Saccharomyces cerevisiae S288C: one gene and its partners. The protein of the gene in region 1 binds, or shares a complex with, the protein of each later gene. Links are inferred from orthologs where the notes say so. Each region holds a gene or a part of one and is shown in the gene's direction. Other genes may lie near its edges. The genes, in order: SPT20, TAF5, TAF9 and TAF12.

The links.
Region 2: the proteins of SPT20 (region 1) and TAF5 are in contact, whole or in part, in a cryo-EM structure (PDB 6T9I), measured with the Saccharomyces cerevisiae proteins. Residues at the interface, in NP_014493.1 of Saccharomyces cerevisiae: Arg112 (codon at 2,321), Pro113 (codon at 2,324), Lys114 (codon at 2,327), Arg115 (codon at 2,330), Leu116 (codon at 2,333), Tyr117 (codon at 2,336), Asn118 (codon at 2,339), Phe119 (codon at 2,342), Val120 (codon at 2,345), Glu121 (codon at 2,348), Arg200 (codon at 2,585), Phe206 (codon at 2,603), Tyr207 (codon at 2,606), Glu208 (codon at 2,609), Gly209 (codon at 2,612), Asp289 (codon at 2,852), Asp295 (codon at 2,870), Tyr299 (codon at 2,882), Phe305 (codon at 2,900), Asp307 (codon at 2,906), Ile309 (codon at 2,912), Gln311 (codon at 2,918), Gln312 (codon at 2,921), Phe313 (codon at 2,924), Glu314 (codon at 2,927), Ser315 (codon at 2,930), Glu316 (codon at 2,933), Ile317 (codon at 2,936), Leu318 (codon at 2,939), Thr319 (codon at 2,942); in NP_009757.1 of Saccharomyces cerevisiae: Leu60 (codon at 3,030), Ile63 (codon at 3,039), Val64 (codon at 3,042), Tyr67 (codon at 3,051), Leu68 (codon at 3,054), Lys70 (codon at 3,060), Lys71 (codon at 3,063), Gly72 (codon at 3,066), Tyr73 (codon at 3,069), Glu77 (codon at 3,081), Leu80 (codon at 3,090), Arg81 (codon at 3,093), Ala82 (codon at 3,096), Glu83 (codon at 3,099), Ser84 (codon at 3,102), Gly85 (codon at 3,105), Arg86 (codon at 3,108), Thr87 (codon at 3,111), Thr89 (codon at 3,117), Pro90 (codon at 3,120), Gln91 (codon at 3,123), Asn92 (codon at 3,126), Ser95 (codon at 3,135), Pro96 (codon at 3,138), Ala97 (codon at 3,141), Thr99 (codon at 3,147), Gly102 (codon at 3,156), Lys103 (codon at 3,159), Phe104 (codon at 3,162), Pro105 (codon at 3,165).
Region 3: the proteins of SPT20 (region 1) and TAF9 are in contact, whole or in part, in a cryo-EM structure (PDB 6TB4), measured with the Komagataella phaffii proteins. The link is inferred for Saccharomyces cerevisiae S288C from one-to-one orthologs. Residues at the interface, in XP_002490759.1 of Komagataella phaffii: Tyr114, Arg117, Gln194, Leu195, Tyr198, Leu202, His241, Arg242, Pro249, Val251, Val264, His265, Glu266, His267, Arg268, Pro269, Ala271; in XP_002491029.1 of Komagataella phaffii: Lys99, Glu100, Leu103, Glu104, Lys111, Pro119, Trp121, Ile123, Arg124, Leu125, Pro126, Pro127, Glu128, Lys129.
Region 4: the proteins of SPT20 (region 1) and TAF12 are in contact, whole or in part, in a cryo-EM structure (PDB 6T9J), measured with the Saccharomyces cerevisiae proteins. Residues at the interface, in NP_014493.1 of Saccharomyces cerevisiae: Asn389 (codon at 3,152), Gln392 (codon at 3,161), Leu393 (codon at 3,164), Ile396 (codon at 3,173), Met397 (codon at 3,176), Asn398 (codon at 3,179), Glu399 (codon at 3,182), Arg400 (codon at 3,185), Thr401 (codon at 3,188), Thr402 (codon at 3,191), Thr403 (codon at 3,194), Ile404 (codon at 3,197), Ser407 (codon at 3,206), Val411 (codon at 3,218); in NP_010429.1 of Saccharomyces cerevisiae: Ala377 (codon at 4,486), Tyr378 (codon at 4,489), Arg379 (codon at 4,492), Ser380 (codon at 4,495), Asn381 (codon at 4,498), Arg382 (codon at 4,501), Pro383 (codon at 4,504), Gly388 (codon at 4,519), Ser389 (codon at 4,522), Ala390 (codon at 4,525), Asn397 (codon at 4,546), Leu404 (codon at 4,567), Pro405 (codon at 4,570), Tyr407 (codon at 4,576), Glu408 (codon at 4,579), Met409 (codon at 4,582), Asp410 (codon at 4,585), Gln412 (codon at 4,591).

Annotation. Positions count from the first base shown.
Region 1 is NC_001147.6:45,260-49,561, reverse strand, and holds SPT20 (Spt20p), read left to right. Parts: upstream 1-1,987; coding exon 1,988-3,802; downstream 3,803-4,302. Other genes in the region: CTR9 (Ctr9p), read left to right, coding at 1-7; DNA replication protein PSF3, read right to left, coding at 114-698; PEX11 (Pex11p), read left to right, coding at 919-1,629; DCP1 (Dcp1p), read right to left, coding at 3,929-4,302. UniProt on the Saccharomyces cerevisiae protein: Component of the transcription coactivator SAGA complex. SAGA acts as a general cofactor required for essentially all RNA polymerase II transcription. At the promoters, SAGA is required for transcription pre-initiation complex (PIC) recruitment.
Region 2 is NC_001134.8:614,728-621,375, reverse strand, and holds TAF5 (chromatin modification protein), read left to right. Parts: upstream 1-2,852; coding exon 2,853-5,249; downstream 5,250-6,648. Other genes in the region: phosphatidylinositol-3-phosphate-binding protein BEM1, read right to left, coding at 1-504; KTR4 (putative mannosyltransferase), read right to left, coding at 1,073-2,467; YBR197C (uncharacterized protein), read left to right, coding at 5,520-6,173. UniProt on the Saccharomyces cerevisiae protein: Functions as a component of both the DNA-binding general transcription initiation factor complex TFIID and the transcription coactivator SAGA complex.
Region 3 is NC_001145.3:740,542-744,825, forward strand, and holds TAF9 (chromatin modification protein), read left to right. Parts: upstream 1-2,429; coding exon 2,430-2,903; downstream 2,904-4,284. Other genes in the region: RNH1 (RNA-DNA hybrid ribonuclease), read left to right, coding at 1-771; GTPase-activating protein RNA1, read right to left, coding at 971-2,194; BCH1 (exomer complex subunit), read left to right, coding at 3,208-4,284. UniProt on the Saccharomyces cerevisiae protein: Functions as a component of both the DNA-binding general transcription initiation factor complex TFIID and the transcription coactivator SAGA complex.
Region 4 is NC_001136.10:743,381-748,857, forward strand, and holds TAF12 (Taf12p), read left to right. Parts: upstream 1-3,357; coding exon 3,358-4,977; downstream 4,978-5,477. Other genes in the region: ubiquitin-protein ligase SAN1, read right to left, coding at 1-494; MKC7 (aspartyl protease), read right to left, coding at 931-2,721; DNA-binding transcription factor SWI5, read right to left, coding at 5,233-5,477. UniProt on the Saccharomyces cerevisiae protein: Functions as a component of both the DNA-binding general transcription initiation factor complex TFIID and the transcription coactivator SAGA complex.

The DNA of each region.
Region 1 (4,302 bases):
GTTCTAAGAAGAGGCGAGGGTTAGAATCAAGACTTTTAAAGAAACTTAATATTATACTGTTGCCTTTTTTTTATAGTTATTTTATATAGTGTATTTCTAAAGAAAAAGATGTGTTATTTTTTAAACATCCACCTTTTCGTGTCCTTATAAGATTCATGAGACTTTTTATATATCTCCTTCTCCATTTCTTCTAGTTTCAGTAAAAATGTGCTAGTTGCTATATTAGTGTTCGCTGAATTTTTTCCGGTCGAGTCTGCATTGAGATCAATCGATAAACTACTAGCATGATGATTAAGTTCTTGGGCACGTTGCAAAAGTAGCTCACTAACGACATTGGCCAGTTCTTTTTCGCTAAACAACATTATCCATTTTATGGCTAGACTGAAGAAATGCGAATTTATGGAATGCAAGTCCAGAGCCACCGGATCGGTCTTTATAGCGTTCATAACTTTCGTAGAAAACATATCTGGTGGCAGGAGTTCCACAAAAGGTACAGGTTCTTCATCTACCAAGGCTTCGTCACCACCCACAATTGCAAGGATTCTTGCTAACCATAGTGGCAGGCTTAGTTTAGTGTTTTTCGTTATGGGTCGTCCTGGGTTGTTTTCCAAATAACCAAGACCAGGAATATCATATTGAAATTTACAAGGAAACTCTGTCCCATCTGCTAGGACATCATCAATGTCATAGTAACCCATCCTTTCTATGCTTGCCCTTCTATTGTAAAAATATAATACCAAGAACAAAGTTGGCATCAATTCCATTGCGATTTTCACTACGCGTCGGCATTTATCTCGGAGAACCCGAAGCGATGGGTATATCATTTATAGATATAAAAGGGAAGTGACTCCAACAACTGAAAAACCGTTGTCTCCATCTACTACTTCAAAGACTTCATCAAGTAATAGTATAATCAATATGGTCTGTGATACACTGGTATATCATCCCTCCGTGACGAGATTCGTCAAATTTCTAGATGGCTCAGCTGGCAGAGAAAAGGTTCTCAGATTACTGCAGTATTTAGCAAGATTTTTAGCAGTACAGAACTCATCTCTCTTGGCCAGGCAATTACAAGCTCAATTTACCACAGTCAGAAAATTTCTGAGGTTTCTGAAGCCTTTAAACCACTTGCAGGCAGCTGCTAAATTCTACGATAACAAGTTGGCCAGCGACAACGTCGTTAGAGTCTGCAATGTTTTGAAAAACATCTTCTTTGCTGCATATTTGTCGTTAGATCAAGTCAATCTTTTGAGAATTTTGAAAGTGATTCCTGTAACCGTTCTTACCGGTAAGAAAATACCTCGCTGGTCCAATTGGTGTTGGCTGTTCGGCCTCCTAAGTGGTCTGGCTATGGATCTTCGTAAGATCCAAACATCTCATGCCCAGATTGCTGCGTTTGTCAAGGCAAAATCACAAAGCCAAGGCGATGAGCATGAGGATCACAAGAAGGTACTAGGGAAGGCATACCAAGACAGGTACACCGCGTTAAGAAGACTATTCTGGGATGCTGCAGATTCGTTCATCGTCCTCAACAACCTAGGGTACTTGTCTAGCAACGAAGAGTATGTTGCGCTATCCGGTGTTGTCACATCTATCCTTGGTATGCAAGACATGTGGAAAGCTACATAGCTTTCTTTTCATCTTTTTTTTTTATTTGGCTATTCTCCGCTTATGTTTGATTCGACCCTTCTTTATAATTTATTTCTTATGTATATGACCCAATGTTCCATGTCCATACCTGTATAAGATTCTGAGTGACAATAGTTCTTGTTATCCGCACCATTAATAACTAACTAACTATCTTTAAAGTAAAACTGGGATCGCTATAACTGCTTAGTTCTGTTACCCGCTCGTGATACCTGACGACCATTAATCATGAAGAAGTGTTAAGATGATCGACCAGCAGAGATAAAAGAATGAGAAAAGTAGCCTTCAAGAGGATTAGGAAGGAATAGTTACGGTTAATTTGCGCCTATATATTTCAGGGATGAGTGCCAATAGCCCGACAGGAAACGATCCCCATGTATTTGGTATTCCTGTGAACGCAACACCATCCAATATGGGTTCGCCAGGCAGTCCAGTTAATGTACCACCTCCTATGAACCCAGCGGTAGCAAATGTAAATCATCCTGTTATGAGGACAAACAGTAATAGTAATGCCAATGAAGGTACTAGGACTTTAACCAGGGAGCAAATACAGCAATTGCAGCAAAGACAACGATTATTACTACAGCAAAGACTACTCGAACAACAGAGAAAACAGCAAGCACTCCAAAACTATGAGGCTCAGTTTTATCAAATGCTTATGACCTTAAACAAAAGACCTAAAAGACTTTACAATTTTGTGGAAGATGCAGACTCAATTTTGAAAAAATATGAGCAATATTTACACAGTTTTGAATTTCATATTTATGAGAATAATTATAAGATTTGCGCTCCTGCAAATAGCAGGTTACAACAGCAGCAAAAGCAACCCGAGCTGACTAGTGACGGTTTAATATTAACCAAAAATAACGAAACTTTGAAAGAATTTTTAGAGTACGTCGCAAGAGGAAGGATTCCTGATGCTATTATGGAAGTCTTAAGGGACTGTAATATCCAATTTTACGAAGGAAATCTTATTTTACAGGTTTATGACCATACTAATACAGTTGATGTCACCCCCAAAGAGAACAAGCCTAATTTGAACAGCTCTTCTTCCCCTTCAAATAATAATAGCACACAGGACAATTCCAAGATTCAACAACCATCCGAACCTAATAGTGGTGTGGCAAATACAGGCGCAAACACAGCAAATAAGAAGGCATCCTTCAAACGACCTAGAGTATATCGAACATTGTTGAAGCCTAATGATTTGACGACGTATTATGACATGATGTCTTATGCAGATAATGCCAGGTTTTCTGATAGCATTTATCAACAGTTTGAATCTGAAATTTTAACACTTACCAAGAGGAACTTGTCACTAAGTGTGCCATTAAATCCATATGAGCACCGAGACATGTTGGAGGAAACAGCTTTTTCAGAACCTCATTGGGATAGTGAAAAAAAATCCTTCATTCACGAACATCGTGCTGAGTCTACGAGAGAAGGCACGAAGGGCGTTGTAGGGCATATCGAAGAACGCGATGAATTTCCGCAACATAGTTCAAATTATGAACAGTTGATGTTGATCATGAATGAACGCACAACAACGATAACCAACTCCACGTTTGCTGTTTCGTTAACCAAGAATGCGATGGAGATTGCTAGCTCCAGTTCCAACGGGGTACGTGGAGCTTCGTCCTCAACTTCGAATTCCGCATCAAATACAAGGAATAACAGTTTGGCTAATGGCAATCAAGTAGCTTTGGCAGCGGCAGCGGCTGCGGCTGCAGTGGGATCTACCATGGGTAACGATAATAATCAATTTAGCAGGCTGAAATTTATTGAACAATGGAGAATAAATAAAGAAAAAAGAAAACAGCAGGCTTTAAGTGCAAACATCAATCCAACCCCCTTCAACGCTAGAATATCGATGACAGCACCATTGACTCCACAGCAACAGCTACTTCAAAGACAACAGCAGGCCTTGGAGCAACAACAGAATGGTGGAGCCATGAAAAACGCAAATAAACGGAGTGGTAACAATGCCACCAGTAACAATAATAATAATAATAATAATTTAGATAAACCAAAGGTTAAGCGACCTAGAAAAAATGCAAAAAAAAGCGAGAGCGGTACACCAGCTCCTAAAAAGAAAAGAATGACTAAGAAGAAACAGAGCGCAAGTAGCACGCCCTCTTCTACTACAATGTCATAATCTACTTAAATAGAGTTATCATTCCTTATATATATATATATATATATATATATATATATATATATATTGTATTAAAGTACATCATTATTTAAAAAAAATTCTCACTTGGGCATCTCACCTCTGTGCTCAAGCAAAAGAATCTTTTGGCTCATTTTCCAGAAGATATTTTATTAGTTCGTAGATATTTTGTCTATCACTAACTGTATGAATCCATATACCATAGACCTCATGCTTCAAGTTCTTAATAATGACCAATTCATCTTTCACCTCTACCCCCATGCACTCTAGTGGGTTAAGTGTATCCTCTTCTGCATTAAATACTTTTCTTTTATTTACGACACTATTGGGAACAATGCCCATAGAAAAATTGTCAGGATTAATTCGGTTTAATATGATCAATCCATAATTGTATATGTCCTTTCCACTTAAAGTTTTGCCGCAATTATATGTTAGCGAATCATTACTTTTATAAGAGTTCCCATTTCCACTGCTATTCCTGT
Region 2 (6,648 bases), on another chromosome or scaffold:
TGCCTTAAAGTCATATAAAACAATGGCGTATAACGATCCCATGTTTAATGAATCATTTGTAACCTTCCGACTTGAACTATTGGATCCATTCACAGAGGAAGGTTTAGTTCTATCAAACACTTCAAAATAGGTTTTGGGGACAACACCCTCTTTTCCAGTAGAAGGATTTGAAGCTTTATACCAATCCTTCTCATCTCCAGATACATAAAAAAATTCACCTTCCATGAAAGATAGTTCCTTTGAAGTTTGTGCCTGATAACTGTATTTGGCTTTTATAACTTTCTCTGGAGAAGTAATATCTTTAGAATTATGTCTGTTTTTTGGTGAAGAGTCCCGTTGGCTTTTCACTGGGGTGGAAGATGAAGAAAGGTACCTCACTGGTACTGTCTTAATATGCTTTATAACACTCCCATTATCATGAGAAGGTGTGGAAATATCTGCGGATGTAATTCTGCCCTTCGACCCATTACTATCTCTTTTTGAGAGTTTGAAGTTTTTCAGCATTTATATGGCTTTCTTGACAATTTCTTTTCACACAGTGCTTTCAACGTGCATCCATATGGGTTTAGTATATTAGTGAAAACATATGCTGATTAAGATGGTACATCAAATTATGGCTGTATTGTCACTTTCTTTTTTTCCTGTTCGTAAATGAATGGGGCCCTTCGCCATTTGTCCGTTTAGGGTAATATTAGTTAAGAAGCCGTTAAGGCCCGGGAAGAATGTCGAATAACAATAGATAAGAGATATTGTAAAGTTTTTGGATTTCGGTTTACCATATTGTATTGAAATGATTGAAAATATAACGACATTATAATTCCATATTATCAAGTGACATTTTTGAGGAGTAGCTTTCTCAAACCAATAATACCTTCAACAATACTATCTACTGGCTGAGAAACATTTCATTTTCCATGAATGTTCACCTGTAACATTTTTAGGTTGCTACATTATAAACTTTTCTTAATTCCATAATATATATCTATCTATGTGCGTCCTAAATTAAATCATAAAACCCCAGATGTGATGCCGTTCTCGAAAGCAGCGGCACAAATTCTCAAAGCTAATGTCTTCAATACATTTCTAACTCTTCCTCAGACATAGAGTGTCTTATCCAGGTTGCCTGGCAATTTTGGTTGTCTAGATCACTCCAAGGAGTGAATTTGCCTGGTACACAATTTCCATTACACCTATCTGAATCTGCTGGACAAGTTGGACAGTTCGTGTACGGAGTATGGTGATAACCTATATCCCTGAACCAATGGATGCTTGACTTATCCGCAAATAAAGCAAGTGCCAAACTTCTTACAGGGGCATCACCCCACCTTTCATAGTAGAATCCTCCCTTTTCTTCAAGATATTGCATATATTTTTCATAAGGTTCTGACCTCAAAAAGTCTAAATCGACTATTTCAAAATTGGTCCAGAAATGACAAGTTGAATACCCTTGAGTATAATCATAATTTTTTGGATTTTGAGAGTTATCTTTTAGCCATGCGAAGGCTCCGTTGACGTTCAAATAGTTTGGGTGTTCCTCGACAAAATCCATAGTTGAAGTCCATAGCGTTTCGATGGTTTGCGGACTATCATAGAGGTTCAAAACAAACCCATAAATCTTGTCATTCTTGTTCATAAATTGGAAAACGTCATAGTTAATTTTGCAATAGAAATTCACGTTTGGCTCTAATCTCCACACATATTTATATTTAGATAGCAGAGGATGATGGTAAAATTCTTTAGAATAGAAACGACACATGTTATGATAGGATTCCACCTCTGCATACTGAATGTTCTCTTTACTCATTTTGTCCATTTCTTGGTCGTATCTCTCCCTATCTATGCTATCAGGCATATTCCAGTTATCTGGACCAATAGTGCCAAATTCTACTACACGGTCCTTAGGAAGAATACTTTTTATTCCATCTTTGAATTCGTCAGTAAATTCCTCATCGTTAAGGAAGGTATAGGGATATCCAAAATTCTTATTGTACTCCTCTTCTAGCTGTTGAATAGAAGAAATTATATCCTCTAAATCAGAATTTCTCACCAAACTCAAAATAGTTCCTTTTGCCTTGCCGGCTAACGGATCCCCGCTACGTACCAAATTGTCCACCTTTGGCTCAGAAATTTCTTGAAGTAAAAACTCCTCGTACAACTGTTTATTTTCAGCAAGGACTTCATTCGGGTCAAAAGTGTCCTTTTCATAAAGGGGCTCGTGTAGCCTGTCCATTATGCTATCTAACACCTCAGCATCATGATCAGGAAGTTCATCAGCGCTTTCAGTTTTACCTGTAATACTTTTGTAGCTCTCCCGGAGAGAAGCATACTGGGACTTGGCACTATCCTTGACTGCTTGCAAATAGTTCTCATTCGCCGTTAAAAAGTAAAGAACAACGGTTACGGCAATCGATATTAGAATGATCACTGAAAGTACAGGTTTCAGTATCCTTTTTGAAAGAAACCTCATATCAGTTCGTATGGTTCACCTTGTTGGGTCTAAACTAAAAATTGTGTTCTGCTGTAACGGCCTATTGTATATTATACAGCCGTGCAACACCGTGAAAGTATCTGCATATCAAATGGTTCAAAATATTTCACTACATGCAGTTAGAGAACGTCTTATAGAGCTCGTTCCGTTGAATGGAATTCTCCCCTTAGCCGGGTAAAAGTAGCTGTAAATATCATCTTTTACGGGTTCAGATGAATTGTTCAAAAGCAAAAAAGTTTCAAGATTTCAAATGAAGTCTACAAAGTGGCAGAAAGAGCAATAAAGCAGGCATAAGGGTAGGAAAAGAGAAGGAGAAAAGATACGAGAAACTCCGGGTTCAAGTTGAGATACTTGAAAAATAAGAATGTCACAGAAGCAAAGTACGAATCAGAATCAAAATGGCACGCATCAGCCACAACCAGTAAAGAATCAACGAACTAATAATGCTGCTGGCGCCAATTCCGGCCAGCAGCCACAGCAACAGAGTCAAGGCCAGTCTCAACAGCAGGGGAGGTCCAATGGTCCGTTTTCGGCGTCAGACTTGAATAGAATTGTCCTAGAGTACCTGAATAAAAAGGGATACCACCGTACAGAGGCCATGCTGAGAGCCGAGAGTGGACGTACACTAACACCTCAAAACAAACAATCACCAGCAAATACTAAAACAGGTAAATTTCCTGAACAATCATCAATTCCTCCGAACCCCGGGAAGACAGCTAAACCCATAAGCAATCCAACTAATTTGTCATCCAAGAGAGATGCAGAAGGTGGTATAGTATCTAGCGGGCGACTAGAAGGGCTCAACGCACCTGAAAATTATATACGTGCATATTCAATGTTGAAAAACTGGGTAGATTCGTCGCTGGAAATTTACAAGCCGGAACTAAGCTACATCATGTACCCAATATTCATTTATTTATTTTTAAATTTGGTGGCCAAAAATCCTGTTTACGCCCGTCGTTTCTTTGATAGATTTTCTCCCGATTTTAAGGACTTCCATGGCTCAGAAATTAATAGACTTTTCAGTGTCAATTCTATAGATCACATCAAGGAAAATGAGGTCGCAAGTGCTTTCCAATCTCACAAGTACAGAATTACTATGTCTAAAACCACTTTAAATCTTCTCTTATATTTTTTGAATGAAAATGAGAGTATTGGAGGTTCATTAATAATTAGTGTAATAAATCAGCACCTAGATCCAAATATTGTAGAATCAGTAACCGCAAGGGAAAAATTGGCTGATGGAATAAAAGTTCTCAGTGATAGTGAAAACGGAAATGGTAAACAAAATTTAGAAATGAATTCTGTTCCTGTCAAGCTGGGACCTTTCCCAAAAGACGAGGAGTTTGTTAAGGAGATTGAAACTGAATTGAAAATTAAGGATGATCAAGAGAAACAACTAAATCAACAAACTGCAGGTGACAATTACAGTGGAGCCAACAATAGAACCTTATTGCAAGAATATAAAGCTATGAATAACGAAAAATTTAAGGATAATACTGGCGACGATGATAAAGACAAAATTAAAGATAAAATCGCCAAAGATGAGGAAAAAAAAGAGAGCGAATTGAAGGTGGATGGTGAAAAAAAAGACAGCAATTTATCTTCGCCAGCACGTGATATTTTACCTTTACCACCAAAGACGGCACTAGATTTGAAGTTGGAGATTCAGAAGGTCAAGGAATCTCGTGATGCCATCAAACTAGATAATTTACAGTTGGCCTTACCAAGCGTGTGCATGTATACATTCCAAAACACAAATAAAGACATGTCATGTTTAGATTTCAGTGATGATTGTAGGATAGCGGCTGCTGGCTTTCAAGACAGTTATATCAAGATCTGGTCACTCGACGGCTCATCACTTAATAATCCTAACATCGCGTTAAATAACAACGACAAGGATGAAGACCCAACGTGTAAAACTTTGGTGGGGCACAGTGGTACAGTATATTCAACAAGTTTCAGTCCGGATAATAAGTATTTACTTTCTGGTTCTGAAGATAAAACCGTCAGGCTATGGTCCATGGATACTCACACCGCGCTAGTAAGCTATAAGGGCCATAATCACCCTGTGTGGGATGTTAGTTTCTCCCCGCTAGGCCATTATTTCGCCACTGCATCGCACGACCAAACCGCAAGGTTATGGTCATGCGATCACATATATCCATTAAGAATATTTGCAGGACATTTAAATGATGTTGATTGTGTGTCATTTCATCCGAACGGTTGCTATGTGTTTACGGGATCCAGCGATAAGACGTGTCGAATGTGGGACGTTTCTACAGGCGACTCGGTTAGGTTATTTCTTGGACATACTGCGCCCGTCATTTCTATTGCTGTTTGTCCAGATGGTAGGTGGTTGTCCACTGGTAGCGAAGATGGTATTATTAATGTATGGGATATTGGTACCGGCAAAAGGTTGAAACAAATGCGTGGCCATGGTAAGAATGCCATTTATTCCTTATCATATAGCAAAGAGGGAAACGTACTTATTAGTGGAGGTGCCGATCATACAGTCCGTGTATGGGATTTGAAAAAGGCCACTACTGAGCCAAGCGCAGAACCAGATGAGCCATTCATTGGATACTTGGGTGACGTTACTGCATCTATAAACCAAGATATAAAAGAATATGGTCGCAGAAGAACAGTAATACCTACAAGCGATTTAGTAGCGTCGTTCTACACCAAAAAGACGCCTGTTTTTAAGGTCAAGTTCAGCAGAAGCAATTTAGCCCTTGCAGGAGGTGCTTTCAGGCCATAATTCACACTGAAAAAAATAACAGCATGGAAGTGATATGTAATAAGTATAACCTAATCCGATATGTAACTATTAGATGCTTTTTCGACATCGTACTTGACCTGCTCGGCGGTTATCATAGCGTCTTCTTTAGCCTTTTTTTTTTCGCTCAGTCATCGGGGCCAAAACAAGAAAGGCGAAGAACAGAAAAATGAAAAATGTAACTGGTTGTTGTAAAAACCTTCCAGAGAAATAAGATGAAATGTATGTTGCTGGCACGAACGAAGACAAATAATGGGAGTGAAGCAAACCCCACCAGTCCAGGTGAAAGTAAGCGACGCGGATTCCACCAACAGAAGGAAATCTAGTAGCCAGGAAGGAAACCCTCAGCTGGTTCAATTAAAGGCAAAGAGCGACAAAGATAAAAGAAAGGGATCTTCAGATTCCACTGCCTCTATAATGGGCAGTTCCAACGCACTTCCGACCAAAAACCTAACCACGCCTCCAGCACTAAACCCCTTAACGACCAGCATTAGTAGGGGTAATACTGCATACGAAAGAAGCGTAAATGGTAGCCGTATAACAATGCACTCAAACCTGGCACCTACGGAGACGCAAGACGTATCATGGTCTGAAATCGATACACTGGATGATGTGAAGAAGATGGCGAAAGAACCTATCGTCAACGACGGGTTCCCACGAGATTTTGAGAGCAATCTCACGCAAATGCGCAAGTCGCACGCTCAACTACTGCGATTAATGAGGGAAAGAAATCAGCGACTAAAGTATGCCAAGCTGAGGAGCCCTCCTCATAAGGATCAGCATAATTCTGCCACGAATAAAGATCAAGAACCAGACGAGGTATTGCATGACCCGGAAATCGCACTTGACGGTGAGAAGTACGTGAGCCAAGTTGTCGATACTATTAAAGATGTTCACCGATGCTGATGACATGTATGGGTTGAAAATATTTAGAGGATGCTAAAAGTCCCGTCTAAAATAGAGGAAGTCATGGATTACATTATCACCTTTATTGTCCTGTTCCGTCTGGCTAATTTGGGACGAGGAACGTTTGTCTCCATTCGCAACCTTTTGAAACCATATGAACGGCGGCTAATCTGACAGATGTCTTATATTTCTAGGATTGTAGAAAGCCTCCTCATCAAACCACCTTGTTTGAAAAAGGCACTAGTGCGGTTGCTTTACTTGATCTAGTATTCTCCTACCTTGGAGCGGTCCCATATCAACTAAATTCAGTTTTCTGACTGAGTTAAAAACTAATGTAGCGACACCACTTCCATTGGTGCCTCCGTTATTTTTTTTTTGTATGTTAATGCTAAATAATACACCGCTATGTATTTCAGGGCACTACTTCTACACATCAACGGTACTAAACATTTCGCTCAAGATCGGTCCGCTTTCA
Region 3 (4,284 bases), on another chromosome or scaffold:
TCGTCATCAGCATGTTCATCTTTAAGCTCTGCTAATACAAATACCTTTTATTCAGTAAAGAGTAATGTTCCAAATATCGAGAGTAAAATCTTTAACAATTGGAAAGACTGTCAAGCCTATGTCAAGCATAAAAGGGGTATAACCTTCAAGAAGTTTGAAGACCAATTAGCTGCGGAAAACTTCATTAGTGGTATGAGTGCGCATGATTACAAGCTCATGAATATATCCAAAGAAAGTTTTGAATCTAAGTATAAGCTTTCTAGCAATACCATGTACAACAAGTCTATGAACGTTTACTGTGATGGTTCAAGTTTTGGAAACGGCACGTCATCTTCAAGGGCAGGTTATGGTGCATATTTTGAAGGAGCGCCAGAGGAAAATATTTCAGAACCCTTATTATCGGGAGCTCAAACTAATAATAGAGCTGAAATCGAAGCAGTATCAGAAGCTTTGAAGAAAATCTGGGAAAAGTTAACTAATGAAAAGGAAAAAGTAAATTATCAAATCAAAACTGATTCAGAGTACGTAACCAAATTATTAAATGACAGGTATATGACGTATGATAATAAAAAACTTGAAGGGCTACCTAATTCTGATTTAATTGTTCCTTTGGTGCAGAGGTTCGTTAAAGTTAAAAAGTACTATGAGTTGAATAAAGAGTGCTTCAAAAATAATGGTAAATTTCAGATTGAATGGGTAAAAGGACACGATGGTGATCCAGGAAATGAAATGGCAGATTTTCTGGCGAAGAAAGGAGCATCTAGACGATAATGCTGTTTTTTGCTTGGCTTCTTACTGGACCTGTTGTACCTGTAATAGAAATATATATTTTATATCTTTTGCATACATATACATACATCAGCTATTTGGTTTTTTAACTTACCCGATAACTATCTATAAGCGTGTCACCATGATATTTGCCTGAACCTCGTCCACAGTTGATTGTGTTTATTTTTACTTTTATTCATAGCTATTTGATTTCAGTTTCAGCTAAACGTTCAGCAAGATCATCTACTTGTACTTCTAGCAGTTCCTTTTCAAGCCTTTCCGTTTCAATTTCTTCGAGTTTTTCATCCTCGTCCTCGTCTTCCTCGTCCTCGCCTTCCTCATCTTCACTATCGACCTCTTCAAAATCGTCAACCTCTAAATCATCAAATTTGCTTTGGAGCAAATCTAAAGCATCAGAATCTTCATCTAATCTGTTACCATTTATTTCTAGCTTTTCCAATTCAGGTAAATTTCCCTTTTCCATAGCCGGTAAGAAGGATACTTCAATGGTTTCTTGAGCCATTTCATTATATTCGAATTTCAAGACATGCAAATTGGGGAATTTAACTTCGGTGAATACTTTAAAGACTTCATCTGAACCAGCAGTTTTCAAAAGACAGTCGTTCAAATTCAATTCAAATAAACTATCCTTCCATGTAGGCAAGGCCTTAGCAAGGATCAAAGAAGCATGTTTCGTGAAAGTATTGTCTTGAAGATCCAAGATTTCCAAGTTTTTCAAGTACTGTAAACCGTAATGAATTAGCGTGGCGACACCTTTAGGCCTAATACCATTTTGGTACAGCTTTACGACTTTCAAACCTTCGGAGTGGCTTTTCAAACCCAGAGCTAAGTAGACTGCGGATCCATTCTCTAATCTATTTCTACCACAGATAAAAGTTTCCAAAAATGGTTTGGAAGCAGCTTTCTTATTTTGAGCGAGATGAAATAGGGCCTTACCAATCCTTTCACCAGCAAAAGGGCCCATACCATTGTTACTTAAGATCAAATGTTTGATATTCACGGCATGTGCAATGTAATCTTCTAGTAACTCGATTGTTCTTAGCCCAAACGCATTATCAGAAAGGTTCACAATCTCCAAGTGAGGACATTTCAACAGAACAGGCAATAAAAACTTCAACGAATCAACGACTTCGTCAACCAACCTCGAAGTGTATAAGTCAGCAAAATTTACTTCAACCAAAGATTCCCTGACCTGTGTATTTTCAGCGATGCATTTAGCTAATGCTTCCGAAGCTTCAGTACCGATTGTATTCCCTGAAAGGTCTAATTTGGTACAGGTTTTCAAAGCTGCCAATTCTTCCAGGTATGGTTTGATATCGTCACTGGTTGTTAACTTGAGTGCCTTCCCAGAGATGGAGTAAACTTGTTCTTCCTCGTGCTGAGGAACGAAGTGCAAGGTAGCCATAGCTAAAAATCTGTTTCGAAAGACAGCCTGTTAAAATGGCCTATATTCACCTTTTACCGTGATATTATGCCTTTGATCAATATCTTCCTAATAAATTTTTTTCCATTAATTGTCCCACAACGTGCATAGTGACATGCATTCCATGACCAAACTAAGAGCTTTAAATCAAAAGTAGAATTTGACATTATGAAACAACACGACAACAAGAAAAGACTAGAGGACTTCACAGACCATTATGAACGGCGGAGGCAAGAATGTTTTGAATAAAAACTCAGTGGGCTCAGTATCAGAAGTTGGTCCGGACTCAACACAAGAGGAAACGCCACGAGATGTCCGTCTTTTGCATCTGCTCCTCGCATCACAGTCGATTCATCAATATGAGGACCAAGTACCGCTACAATTGATGGATTTTGCACATAGGTACACACAAGGAGTCCTTAAGGACGCGTTGGTTTACAACGACTACGCTGGCAGTGGAAATTCTGCCGGCAGTGGATTAGGAGTAGAAGACATACGGCTTGCCATTGCAGCGAGAACACAATACCAATTTAAGCCTACGGCACCTAAGGAGCTCATGTTACAGTTAGCTGCGGAAAGAAACAAGAAGGCATTACCTCAAGTGATGGGTACGTGGGGTGTCAGGCTTCCCCCAGAAAAATATTGTCTCACAGCGAAGGAGTGGGACCTTGAGGACCCAAAGTCTATGTGAATGCACCGCTTATATATCATAAGTACACTAAATCAAGTTCTTCCGGAAGATGCGTCATGTAGAATGCATAATAGAGTAATATACACTAAATAATGCGCTAGTCGTGTATCGTGATCATGTTCTCTAATGTTCTTTTTCCTGCCTGCCCTTTCCTACATGGAAAGTTAGAGAAATGAGATCTACACGATAATGTAGTAACAAATGGACCCTTAAACATCTCAATTCATCTTCTTGAGAGCACTTTCCGCGCTGTATTGATTTTTAGAACGTGAAAAGGATAAACTGAAAACTTGAAGTCCTAACCATGTTGTCTCAAACCTCCATACCGGAAGTGAAAGAAGACGTGATAGGCTATGCGCTACACCAGAGGAGAGCCAGAGTGGGACAATTCCAAGACTTGGGTCCGCCTGATTTAATTACTTTGATCAAATCGTTACCTTCATCCTCGAGCACAACAACTGCTACTGCCTCCGCCAACGATAACGGAGCAACTTCAAACATCAATGGACAAGATCCTACGACCATAGTTACGGAGTTACATTCCCATGACAAATTAAAGGGGCAGATCGGCACTTTCTTTTACTGTATGGGTATCGATACTTCGGATCCAACTTCTATTACAATCTTTGCCAAAAAGATAACCGATCTTTTCTTAGACACGCCCCAAATTTGGTTTGGTAAGAAGAAGCACTTTCACGTATCGAAGATTTCTATCAGTTCTTGGAATGCGTTTAGGAAATATGATGTTAACATTATAGTTCACATTCCAGGAACTGTGCAAACCTACATTATAAATAGCGACGGTGAACAATCGCAACTTCCCTCCGTGGCAGAAGCGTCATCTGGCCGCAACTCACAGGATTTAAACGTCAACATGATTTGGGCGGAAACGTTTATGAGTGGTATTGTACGTGACATTATGATTATGAAAGATAATCGTGCGGATGGAGAATCCCAGAATTTGGTAGAAACACTAATTTTCAATCCATTTACCTCGGGTGAGTTGGAAGATGTTGCCAATAACTTTATTAAACTGTTCCCCTTGGTCTATGAAAAAGGTGTTTATTTAGATGCACCTACTCACGTTTTAAATCCCTCGTTAACCAATAATTATTTAGTGGAAACTTTAGTGGAAATAGTTAGGTTAACTAAGAGTTTGGAAGCATGTCGTAAAATGCTCAAGAAGTTAATAGAAATTCATCCAGAAGCAGTAATAATATTAATTCGTGTTTATTTTGCGTGCGATTTAGAGATAGATGCAGTTGACCTGATCAACGAGCAACTAAATTCCCCCTCTTCGTTCTTAGCCGACGATTCAAAGACTAGCCATATCCAGCTAATCTTCAAATCCGAATTATTAAGTATTCAAAGTGAATTCTTA
Region 4 (5,477 bases), on another chromosome or scaffold:
CATAAGGGCCCTTCGGCCTTGGGTAGATCAGAAACTTGCAGAACGGGGAGCTTATCAAACTCATCCTTTGATATTCCTTTTGGTCTATTTAATAGTCTGTTGAATCTCTCCATTGCAAGCTGAGCAGCAACAGATATGAAGCTGTTCAAACGGTCTTGTGGAGTAGACGCAGGAACATCACGAAAAGATAAAACAAGAGCACCGTCGGGTTGATGGCCCCCATTTCCGATGCCAAAGCTGGGCCCAGTACCGTTGGCAATCGTGCTACCGGATGCTGCGCTGTTGTTTTCGTTATTATCATTATTAGATATATTGCTCAAATGTGCTAATCTCTCCGGAGTGAAATAGGAATACTGAATGGAAACGGTTATGTTTCTTGTTTGCTCAGCACCACCATTGAGTGGACCGGAAGCTGCATTTGAATTATTATTATTTTCAGCATTATTTGGTGATGTATTTGTGCCTCTGTTTTGTTCTTGACCACTTTCACTCATAATGAACAAAAGCTGAGGTTACAAGACTATGAGAGAAAACAAAGGGGAAAAAAGGGAGAAACGAACTATCCTGAAATGCTAAATAATTTCTATCTATAGTAGCTTCACTAGAGGATATATATGATAAACTATATTTCCTTCAATATATAGTTTTTAGCTATTATTTCATTATTGATTTGGTGATACTAATGCAATGTAGTTATATGTAAAAAATTCTTTCATATTTTTTGACAATGGCAGATAGAATGTTTTACCCGGCTTTTTGCGTCGAAGTATATAATTGTTGATTAAGAAGCCAGTAACAATAAAAAAGAACAGTATTATTTATTTTACGTTAAAAGACGCTTTTCTTTCAAGTAATGTACAATGTTATACCTCCAGATATACATTGCAACTTTTAAAGTCTAGTAAATGCTTATATGGAGGGAGGGATTTATCAAATGTGATGAAAAATAGCTGTAATGAACCTGGCGAAAAATGGAGGATTCAGATTGTGTCCTCCGTTTTCTTTTCTCGTAGATGAACTTGAGGTGGGAGATAACATTCCTGTTGAGGAAGTACTTGAGGTAGATTTTGAAATAGAGAGAGCTGTCGTACTTGTTTGGGTTTTTTGGCCTTTGGAGCTGGAAGAACTTGTTGCCGAATGAGACGTGGAAGCAAAGTACGATATACTGGAGTTAGCTGCCGTGGAAAACATGTTGCCGCCGGAGACAATACTTTCATATGTAGACCAAGTGCTTGAGTAACCAGGTGCTTTAAGAGCACTTGGAACCGCGCTCTCTATAATCTCAATGTATTCACCGTCGTCGCTGAAGTTAGCCTGAGCCATTGATATCTCCATATTGTCCAGATCATATACCACGTAAGTATTAGCTAAGAAGTTATCACCCAAAATAATGGTCGGATCTGACTGCGGTGCAATACCTAGTATACAAATGTTTGAACGACTATCTGTGACTAGCTGAAAATCGCTTAACCAATTAGAAAGATAGAATCCACCAAAATCAAAGATGATGCTACTCTCTTCTTCCATCTCTTTGATACAATCCATTATGTAGTAACCATATGCAGAAGAGTAAGTAGCTCCGACCTGGTCGGCAAGCATTTTTACCAGCTCAGTTGGCATATACGATATGGTCGTACCTGAATCTAGCAGGACTGGGATCTTTGTAGTGGTTAGGGTTGTCAGATTGTCTTCTTTATCCCCTTTCGACGTACCTAATCCTTGTAAAGTGACTTGGAATTGAATTGGATCCTTGTAGCCGCGATGCTGCAAAGTATTAATGATGGGAATTGTGTATAGGTCGCCCGCATATTTTCCATGATCCACAGCGCCAAACAAAATGGTACCATGTTTCGAATCAGAATCATTTGCGAATAAAGAATAAGCTGTTGATTTTATTACACCCGAATTCTTTAGCACCATCGGAAAGTTATTGTAAGTGTAGCTTTTTTGTACAGAGCTGAGAGAAACACCAGAATAAGTTGACTCCAAGCCAGGCAAACCAATACCCAAGACACCAACTGTTGAGTTTGTTTCGTTTGCTACAGCAAATGATAAACCCGTAATGTTCAAATCGTTCAAGCTCAATTGATCATGGCCCCAGGTACCAGATGCAAAAGTCGTATCACCATAGGCGATCGAAAATTCTGTATTATTGGAGTTGAATGTAGACGACTTAGAGGTATTAAATGTCCCGTATGTAGCGCAGTCAATTAACTGTGATGTAGAAGCTGTACTATCAAAAGTAGCAGTGGCTTCGCTGGTAACTATAGTGGTGTCGTAGCTAATTTCAGTAAACACACTCTCAACCACGCTAGCCAAAGCATCCTTGTTTACTTGTTTAAAGGATGAGCCAGTGGTATCCTTCTTTTTAGTGGAACAGTATGGGTTGTCTGAACCCGTGACCCATAGATCAGAAGAACCAGTGTCGACAAGCACAGTAACTTTTTGAGGAGGGGTGCCAATATCTAATTCCACCGAATAAAAACTGTTTTGATTAGTCAGTTCCACCAGCTCGTAATCATCATCTCTTGTCATCAAACGCGTTCTACCTTTTGTATCATCCAAAGCGTTTTCAAATGAACTGCCGTATTTCTTCTGAAAATTCATTTTGACATAGACTTCATTACTTGGTAAGGATGGAAAATCTGTAACACCGGCATCTACTATTGAGCTGCAGACAAGTAATGCATCTACGACAAATGTGAGGACAGATAATTTCATAGAGCTCTTTCTTTTTCGTTTATTTTTGACGTATTTGCTCAAGCGAATAACGACAAAAGCTTGTTCTCTCGTTGATACTTTTAGCCAATTACAATTTCTTAGCAAGAACGAGTGACGCCAACCAAATTTCTCCCAAAAGTGATTATCTGAATAATGAAAGATGGTAGGAAATAAGGTATTGAAACAGGTTCAAAACTTTAAAAGAAAACTGCCAAATAAACTTTCTCGATGCGTAGCTGAAATTTCAACTTCAAAAAAAAAAAAACGCGTGTAACTTTCTACGTGCAAAACGATGTGTATGAATCCCGTCTTAATTAGTAAATAGGGTCTAGTAAGCGTAGCGAGGATGAATTAAATGCATTGTTGAATATGAAGAGCACCTTATGGTATATAAATGTACAATCTTGATTCATGACAGCTTTGCAAGTAAACGTATCAAATGAATATCACGATTTTGGCTGTATTACCCGGGCAGTATACGCGGCGAATTTTGTTAAAAAATGTGTTAGACTTAAGTCGGAGCAAATGAATAATGGGCATATATAGCGCATAGGTTCGCTAGTGTAAGACAGGAGACTGTCCAATAGCATTCGAATCATAACCGAATCTTTGCCAGTGTGTGTATAAAATACGACAATGTCTTCCAATCCAGAAAATTCTGGTGTTAATGCGAATAATAATACGGGCACTGGTAACGCTGATGCGATCACAGGAGCTCAGCAAAATATGGTACTGCAACCGAGACAGTTGCAAGAAATGGCCGCTAAGTTCAGGACATTACTGACTGAAGCAAGAAATGTAGGTGAAACTACTCCTAGGGGCAAGGAATTGATGTTCCAAGCCGCAAAGATCAAACAGGTATATGATGCCCTTACACTGAATAGGAGAAGACAACAGGCTGCGCAAGCCTACAATAATACTTCAAATTCAAATTCAAGCAATCCAGCTTCTATTCCTACTGAAAATGTCCCTAATTCATCACAGCAACAACAACAACAACAACAACAGACAAGAAACAACAGTAACAAATTTAGCAATATGATAAAACAGGTTCTCACCCCGGAAGAGAACCAAGAATATGAAAAGCTATGGCAGAATTTCCAAGTCCGTCATACGAGTATAAAGGAGAAAGAGACCTACTTGAAACAAAATATTGATAGGTTAGAACAAGAAATAAATAAACAGACGGACGAAGGGCCCAAGCAGCAGCTACAAGAAAAGAAAATTGAACTGCTTAACGATTGGAAGGTGCTAAAAATTGAGTATACCAAGCTGTTCAATAATTATCAAAACAGTAAAAAAACATTCTATGTAGAGTGTGCAAGACACAATCCGGCTTTACATAAATTCTTGCAAGAAAGCACTCAACAGCAACGAGTGCAGCAACAAAGGGTACAACAACAACAACAACAACAGCAGCAGCAGCAGCAACAGCAGCAACAGCAACAGCAACAGCAACAGCAACGCCAGGGTCAAAACCAAAGAAAGATTTCTAGTTCTAATTCTACTGAAATACCCTCTGTAACCGGCCCTGATGCACTGAAATCGCAGCAGCAGCAGCAGAATACAATAACTGCCACCAATAATCCCAGGGGCAATGTTAACACTTCACAGACTGAACAATCGAAAGCTAAGGTAACCAATGTAAATGCAACGGCATCTATGTTGAATAATATAAGTTCGAGCAAATCGGCAATATTCAAACAAACAGAGCCTGCCATACCCATATCGGAAAATATATCTACCAAAACACCAGCACCGGTAGCTTATAGATCCAACAGACCTACAATAACTGGAGGTTCTGCTATGAATGCCAGTGCTTTGAATACACCAGCAACAACTAAATTACCACCCTATGAAATGGATACTCAGAGAGTTATGTCAAAGCGTAAATTAAGAGAGTTAGTGAAGACTGTCGGAATTGATGAGGGTGACGGTGAAACTGTCATTGACGGTGATGTTGAGGAATTACTATTGGATCTTGCCGACGATTTTGTTACTAATGTTACAGCTTTTTCTTGTAGATTGGCAAAACACAGAAAATCGGACAATTTGGAGGCAAGAGACATTCAGTTACATTTGGAGAGAAATTGGAATATTAGGATTCCTGGTTATTCCGCAGACGAAATAAGAAGTACAAGAAAATGGAATCCCTCTCAAAATTATAACCAGAAATTGCAGAGTATCACATCAGATAAGGTAGCAGCTGCAAAAAACAATGGAAACAATGTTGCAAGCTTGAATACAAAAAAATAATTATGTTACCCACATTCTCCACTCTTCCACAGAAAAAATTCCTAAAGTTATAGTTCACATTGTTATATATGTATCTATAAAGCGAAATTTTTTAAAATTAATTGATTAATTAATATTTTGTATCTAAAGTGTTCATACTATATTATTTACTTAGATTATACATAATTAAAAAAAAAAAAAACTTTTTTTCCTTGTTTTCATTTTGTTTTTATTATTAAATATTAAAAAAAGTGTCCATAACATCAATGTTTTTTTTTACCTTTGATTAGTTTTCATTGGCGAAACCATAATCCCCGTTCCATTCCCATCATAACTACGCTCTCTTCTGAGTTGATCTTCAAGCTTGAACATCAACTGTCCATTATGATCCTTGTTAATATTTTCTTTGATTGGACTACTAGAAACACTTGAAGTTCCATCTTTTCTTGGTCTTCCTCTTTTTCTTGGAGACCTTTTAATTACCACGTTTTCATACTTTTTACCACCGCTGCAAATCATTC